Linked DNA regions of Rhinolophus ferrumequinum. The protein of the gene in region 2 binds, or shares a complex with, the protein of the main gene of each other region. Links are inferred from orthologs where the notes say so. Each region holds a gene or a part of one and is shown on either strand. Other genes may lie near its edges.

Region 1 (3,747 bases), on a different chromosome or scaffold from region 2:
ACTTTAAACATCAACAAAAACAAAAATAGGAAAACTCTATGAGAGAAGTGAAAGTTTATCAAATCCTGGGGTTACGATTAAATTTAGGAGAATTGGAAGAAACAAAAGGGAAAATACTGATAGCTGGCACTGTGGGTCCTCTGTGTTTAAAATAATAATAATAATAATAATAATAATAATAATAATAATAATAATAACAACATTAAAAGTCCAAACAGGAAATGTTTCCATTAATTATGACAAAGTAATAAGAAAAATTAAGTACAAACATTAGCCTAGAAGTCTTCTCCAAAAGAAAACAGCACAGTGTGTTCAGAACTTACGAGATCTAGATTCTGCCCCCTTTGTTTTCCCAATACTTCTCCTCTCTAGCACTTTATTCTTTTCAATATACATTCTAGTCTTTCCCATGAAAACAACAAAAATAACAAGAACCAGAGTCCCTTATCACATCCTCCTTTAGCTGCCAACCCATTTCTCTATTCCTTTGCTCATCACAACAAAATTCCAGTCTCCACTTCCTCACCTCCCTTTCCCTTTCCAAAGTATATATCCCACCTTTCAATGTAAACAGCTCTCAAAAGATCAGTGACCTCCAGTGTGTCATCTTATTCCATCTGTCACCATCACTTGACACCGCCCACTCACCTTCATGAGACATTCCCTCTCTTAGCCTCCCTACTTCACTTGCTGTTGTCTTCTAAATCGCTTTTATTGGTGTCTCCTCTACTCAAACTCTAAATCTGCACTGTCCGTAAGGTAGCCCACTAGTCACATGTCACTACCGAGCACCTGAAATGGGAACAGTCTATGAAATGTTCTGTAAAAATAAAATGCACATTGGATTTTGAAGCTTTAATATGAAAAGAGATTGTACAGTTTTGAAGTCTTAGTATGGATTATGAAGACTTCATCCCTGTTGAAATATTTTTGGATATATTCAGTTAAATAAAATATATTCTTCTCACCTGTTACATTTTACTTTTCCATGTGGCTACTAGAAAGTTTAAGACTACATATGTGGCTTGCATTATATTTCTATTGGACAGCGCTGCTGTAAAACGCCAGAAGTATCCTAGGGTTTTGGTCTTGCTCCTCCCCTAGCCTTGCCATTACAGTAAACAGCACCACTATCTATGTAACGGCTCATATTCGGGGCACAGAAACATAGACCGCAGTATTGTTAGACAATGGGAGTGTCCACAGAGCAGAATTCCCAGAATTACTGTCAAGCACGCAAGTGGGGACTCAGCAAGACTGGTCCAGCAGTTCAGGTTTTCAGACGGCGTGATATCTAAGCCCTACATTAGCTTGCTTTGAGGAACTCCACTCTGCCCATTCAAGTTTCTAGTTTCTCTGAAATGTGTGACCAGTTTAAACAACCTTCAACTGGGTCTCTTGTTTTTTTTTTCTCTTTTTTAAAAGGCCATCGTTTGTGATGGTGAAGACTTAGGCAGACCCTAAAATTCTAGTCAGTCCTTGATGGTATGAGAACACCAGCACTGTTTCTCTAAAGAGGGTTAATCTAACAAATATGCTGCCTCTGATCAAAACTTGTTGGAAACAATGCCCGTCACATTAATTCAACAGAGAGGTTGAAATCTGGCACCAGGAAGAAACTTAGCAACAAAACCTGACCCACTTCTTACATAAGTAAGAAAAAATGAAGTTAAGAAAGCTGAAAGACTCGATTCATTCAGATCTTAAAACAAAGAATTCTAAAAAACTCATTAAGCATTAAAAATACTAACCATTCTATAAGCACTCCTTTCAAAACGTTGACCATCTTTTCTTCAGTCAGAAGATGGAGATGACCTTAAAAATGCTAGTAAAAGGGATAAGGTGACATAAAATTCAAAAGCATCAACTTCAATACATTTTGGAGATTTACCTATGAAATGAGGCAAAATGTTAAATAAAGCTTAAACATTTAAGTCTATTAAAGACATAGGGCAAACATTAAGAAAATAGATATTCTGATCTTTTAACAAAATTAAAATCAGTCTATTGGAATAACAATGCATAAATTTTACTTCCAGTTCTACCCAGTCAATCCTAATGAAAACAAGCGGTCTAACTACACCTGTGTGCCGAGCATAAGTTTTAAAACATTAGTCAAAAGATTTCTCTTCCCAATCAGGAATGTGATAAAAGATCCTGGGAGGCAAGAATCACAGAATGATAGCTCTGAAAGGGACCTTAAAAATTATATATTGAGTCCAATCGTTTCGTTTTACAGACAGCCTCCGAACAGATTAAGCAGTTGCTCCCGGCCAAAAAAAAAACCACAACAAAACAAAACAAGCCAGGTCTCCCAGATTTGTGTTACTTTACCAAACAAATCACGTACCCCAAGGATGTTCACTAGAAGGAAAGGAACCCACCCAGTGCACGCCAACTTAACCGTTAAATTTATATACACACGGGCGCGGGGCAATGCCTCCCCAAAGGAAATTCACGGTTCAATTACTGCGGGACAGCCGTCCGGCCTCGTCAAAAAGGGCCCTGAGAGGGTGCGAGACACCGCCCTGTACCCCAGCACCTGGAGGACAGTCTGCTGGGTCTTACCTCCCTCTCCTCTCTTTTTCGGGACCCCTCTCTTCCATGCACCCCACTTTCACCTCTCGCTGGCAGAGCCGACTCTACGTACCTCCACGAAAGGACCAAGCAGCTCCTCAGCGTCGCTGACAGACTGCGCCTGCGCCAGTTACGTCATGGCGTCGGCGTCGCTCTAGTGGGTGGAGCGCGCCGGTGGGAGGCGGGGAGCAGACGGGGCCGAGGGCCCCGGTCGCGGCGCTCTGGGGGCGGGGTCACGTGCCGCCCGCCGCCGGGTGGAGGGCGTGGGCCGGGCGCTGGGGAGGCAGGTGGGCTCTCCGTTGACCAGGTCCGCGGTGAGCGGCTGGGAGCAGGCCAAGTCCACGTGCTGGCAGGTAGGAAGGGGAGGCCGTGCTCGTGGGGGCGGGCGAGAGCGTCAGCCAAGCAGGGCAAAGAGGAGAGCTGGGAGGGCGGCGACGGGGCGCGGCTGGGGAGTGGCCGGGGCGCCCCCGCGAGGACGCGCGGACCCCGACTGACCCGCTGACCCTCCGCGGATGGTGAGGGCCTGTCTCCAGCCTCCGCAGCCCTACTCTTCTCTGGTCGTCGTCCTTCTGTGGTTCTTTTCTGAGGCCCAAAGAGCACGTGCCGATACCTTCAGCCCGGGCGCGGTAGTCGCGGAATGATAGATACCAAGCAGGACGAAACATGTCTCATTCAAATTGGAACCTTCCAGACTCAGCTTCTAGCTCAGACAGTGGAGGTTGAATGGATTGAATGCTAATAGCTTTCTAAACCCGGCAACGGTCATTTTAACGTGAGAAACCCCAGAAGGTTCTAAAATTAATTCCTTTTCCAAATTCTGGTCTGTAGTCCCACACTCTTAGTTATTTTTACCAGTGCAGGTAGGATGGCCATGTTTCTGTTCCTTAGGTTAAATTGTGCTTCCCCAGTTGAGCTCATGCTGCTTTTTACTTCCTGTGTTCATATGATTTACAAACCCAGCTCTTCCATTTATTTCCCTTTTCCTAGTCCTCAAATCTTTTCCTCCTGTTGGTTTCCATGTTGTTGCATGTGCGTGCTCTCCCTCTAATTTGCCCCTAAGTCTAGGTCTTCCCAAGTATCTTTTTTTTAAGTAGTAATTACCATTTATTTTTTAAATTTTTATTGGGGAATATTGGGGAACTCTGTTTTTTCAGGACTCGTCATCTCTAA
Region 2 (3,747 bases):
AATGTTTTGATGTTTCTGAAGTCAGTCACTCCTAATAATCTCCTGCTTGGAGATCCAGACATTTACTGGTACAAATGTGGCTTTCTTTTGACACTCCCAATTTGATGAATCAACTTTGCTTTAAGATCTTGCTTCTGTGCCTTAATTAATCCACAACTTGACCACTTAATGAATTCATAAGCAGTATAATTGAAGGAAAATGTGTCTTCTTCGTGAACCATACGCCTAAAGAATAATTTAGCGGAATTAAGTTGAAAAGCCCTCAAAATGCTGATGTTTTTAAAAGTATGTGGGTACAGACACTTTTTGAAATAACCGATTTCCAAATTATTATTTAAAATGCTAAACTTTATTTGAGCTGAAGTTTTTGCCTTTTATGAAATACAAACCAGGAAGTTTGCCCTGGTTTTCAAAAAAGAGGACGTATTTCCAAACTTAAAAACTGGTAAATTAAAGGACCACAGTGGCATTATCTAATGTTTAATTAGAAGATTCCTTTCAAAAATGTTATATTGGTGCAATATTTGAAAGTTGAATTTCTATATTGCATATATTAATACCCAATGCAATAAAAACACTACTTAGAATTTTAATTTTTGTTTAAATCCACTAAGCCCTCTCATTCCTCACAATTCTATACATAAATGTACTGTGGACATAAGGTCGTACCTTGAAACTTAAGCATTAATTTCTTTGAAAAGCTTCGTGTCATTGATATTTATTATAGGAAAGCATAATGAAATACTAGGAGCTATATTTCTAACATTATTTCCTGAATACTTGAACAAATACTATCAAAAGTCCTCTGCGACTAACAGTTAATATAGAAGGCATTTTTTTAAATTCCCGACAATAATGCACACATTTTCTAATACAAGAACACACATTTGAACTAAAATTCTCTTTAAAAACAAAAATAAATATAAAGTATAAAAAAAGGGACAGCAATTCTACTTCCCCCTAGCAAGGACGGCAAATCCCAAATGCTGCACCAAAACAAAAACTTGGGGCTCTGAAAGCAGCCTCGGTTGGATGCGAAATTCCAGTATAAGATCTAGAAATAAACTGAGCTCTGCACGCGCCTGCCTCTCGCCTAGGGAGCACGCACCTCCCAGCCCCGCTCTCAGCAGCTCTCACTATTTAAAGCCGGATCTGGTGTTTAAATGGAGAGGCGGTGACGTAGGCCTGAAAAGCACCTTCCCATCCTGGCAGAGTCTATATTAGAGAGCGGCAATGGCTCTATATAAACAGGGCAGCCAAAGGGAGGAGGACCACAAGGCTCAGGGACTGAAAAGCAGGGTAAGCGGCCGCAGCCATGATGGATCGACCCGAGTCGCCAACGGTACGGAGTCGGGCGGCCGCGGGCTGGTCTGCGGCATTTGGGACCGGGCAAAAACGTGTTTTATTGTCACAATAAAAATAAGAGTGGGGTGGACTAGTGATCACATTGCGTTGGTGACTGAAAAGGTTATTTATGTGACTGCTTTTTGCAAACCTACGTGATCGCAAGTAACCAAAAAGGGACAAACGGGAAGAAGTAGGCAAATTTCAAGGCAAAGCGGTGACACTTTGGCCACTGTAGGCTTTTTTTGTTTGCTTTGGTGCTTTTGCTAGTTGAAGATACGATGGGGGTTTTGCTTCCCCTTCGCCATTTTACCAATTCGGAAGGAACCGAGATAAGTGCTTTTCAACCTTCGTCCTCTTTTTTTAAACATAAAATGGCCCCAGGGAAGGCTCCCTAAGCACAATCGCCAGAAACACCCCAAGTAACCCCCAAGTAGCCATGAGCCTTCCACTGCATTAAAGTGGATCACGGTGGTTTTGGGGATTCGCCCAATTCCCCAGGCGGTTTTTGTTTTGAGGCTGCTCGGGGAGCCCTCCAGCCAGGGCGGCCGGACCCACTTCGGGAGCAAGCGGCGGCTCCCCTCCCTCCGTCCCGGCGGCCGGGGTCTGGAACCGGGGCCGCGCGTTCGCCACGGCCCAACGGCCTCCGCGGCCCCGACCGCCCCGCGGCGGCCCCAGGCCCCGCCGGCGCCCCCGCCCTCCCCGCCGCCTTGAGCCCTCGATGCCCGCCCCCCCCGCGCCCGGCGCCCCGGCCCGCTCCGCCCGAGGCGGGAAGCGGCGGCGGCGGCCGCGCGGGCGGCTAAGAAGAGTCGAGGCCGGGAGTCGCCGCCGTCCCCGCCCCCGCCCGGTCCGGCCGTTGCTGCCGCCTGAACGAAGCCCCCGCCGGCCACCGAACCACGTCCTTACCACGGTGTTTGAATTTGCCGAGTTCGCCATTTCCACACACAACACAAATAAGAGGGGGGCAACCCCGAGAAAACAAGATGAAATCGAAACCAAAAAACGAAAAACAAAAAAAAACAGAAAAAAAAAACACCGGAGGGTGACCCAAGCCACCGCAAGATTGGGGGAAAATTTTTGAAACAAAATCGGATCCTGAAGTAGAGGGGAGCGGTGAGAGGAGGAGGGGGGCAGTCCTCCCGGAGCTAAAAAACCTCGAGAATCGCCCTTAAAAAAAAAAAAAAAAGCCACGACCCTTAGGGGGTCCGGGGGGCGTTGCCCGCTCCCCACCCCGTGCCAAGCAGGGAAACCACCACGTCTCCGCTCCCCGCGCCGCCGCTGCCGCCACCGGCTGCAGCTCCAGCCGTCCGGTCCGCCCGCTTCTCCCCTTTATATAGCGAGCCAACGAGCTGCGCGAGCCGCCACCGCCGCCGCCGCCGCCGAGAGACAGGGCGGAGGGGGAGGGAGGGACGGAAAGGGCGGGGGCAGAGGTGGGCGGGGCTGAGCGCGAGACACCGCGAGAGCCGCGTCGTCACGCGCTCTGGAGGTTGGCGGGCGGAGTCCCGGGACTGGAGTAGTGAAGTCAGATCGCAGCCTCCCCCAATCTCCTGTGATCACGTGGTTGGTACCCAGGCGGAAGTCTCCCGCAGCGCCTTTGGAATGAAGAGCCTGCAAATCCCTGGAAAAGGCGTGAATTCTGGTGATACTCGAGTCCAATGCTAGCTGGGACCGCCTCCTGTCAGGCGTTTCTGCGCCGTCCCGCTGGAAGAGTTGGGAAATGTGGAAGGGGCGGCGACAGCTGCCTCATTAAGAGTGGCCGCGGAGTATGACCGGTCACGTGGCTCACTTCCGGCCCCAGGCGCGCGCGGACTGAGGGCAGAGTTTTAAATGCGGAGTCATCGCCCAGGGGTTCGAGTTTGTTTGGGATTTAGCGCTTCAAGGCGTCTGCGGCTGTCGCCCAGGGTGGGCCTTTCACTCGCGAAATTGTCATGTTCCTAAAAGGGACGAAAGCTGATTTGGGCCCACGGTTAACATTCCAGAATTAATAACTCCTGAAATCTGCTGAGTTGTTTTGTCCCTACCAAAACAACTTAAATGTCTCTGGGTTTAAATTCCTCAAAGGTCCGACCTCTCCTTTTAAATGACTTGTCGCCGTGGTGGGAATGCCAAGAAAACAAACCAAAACACCGACCCCCGGATTGTGACAGCAGGGTAACTTTCCCTGTTTTTCGGTTTTCTTTAAATATTGCCAACATTCTGTGACTCCACATGGCCAACGTGTTGTAATGTCTGAAATACTTGCTCTTGACCGACCAACTCACCTGGACTCTCGCTGCGAGAGCTGGCAGTAAATATCCATGAGTTGGAGTGTGTTTGACCTACTTTGCCCAAGCAAATCCCGCCTTTATATCAACACTTCACGCAGAACAGAGAATGCTCTGTTTAGAAGGCAGAACTCACAGT

Evidence for each region. Proteins that work in one complex are often made in the same cells at the same time.
Region 1: GTF2A1 (region 2) and GTF2H5 share a complex: the UniProt entries of both Homo sapiens proteins name them as parts of the TBP-based Pol II pre-initiation complex. The link is inferred for Rhinolophus ferrumequinum from reciprocal best matches to the Homo sapiens genes GTF2A1 and GTF2H5.

The regions. Positions count from the first base shown.
Region 1 is NC_046286.1:99,936,104-99,939,850, reverse strand, and holds the start of GTF2H5 (general transcription factor IIH subunit 5), read right to left. Parts: upstream 2,745-3,747; 5' UTR 2,651-2,744; exon of another isoform or gene 2,569-2,650; intron 1,826-2,568; 5' UTR 1,787-1,825; coding exon 1,752-1,786; intron 1-1,751. UniProt on the Homo sapiens protein: Component of the general transcription and DNA repair factor IIH (TFIIH) core complex, which is involved in general and transcription-coupled nucleotide excision repair (NER) of damaged DNA and, when complexed to CAK, in RNA transcription by RNA polymerase II.
Region 2 is NC_046289.1:18,547,092-18,550,838, reverse strand, and holds the start of GTF2A1 (transcription initiation factor IIA subunit 1), read right to left. Parts: upstream 2,707-3,747; 5' UTR 2,281-2,706; coding exon 2,251-2,280; intron 1-2,250. UniProt on the Homo sapiens protein: TFIIA is a component of the transcription machinery of RNA polymerase II and plays an important role in transcriptional activation. TFIIA in a complex with TBP mediates transcriptional activity.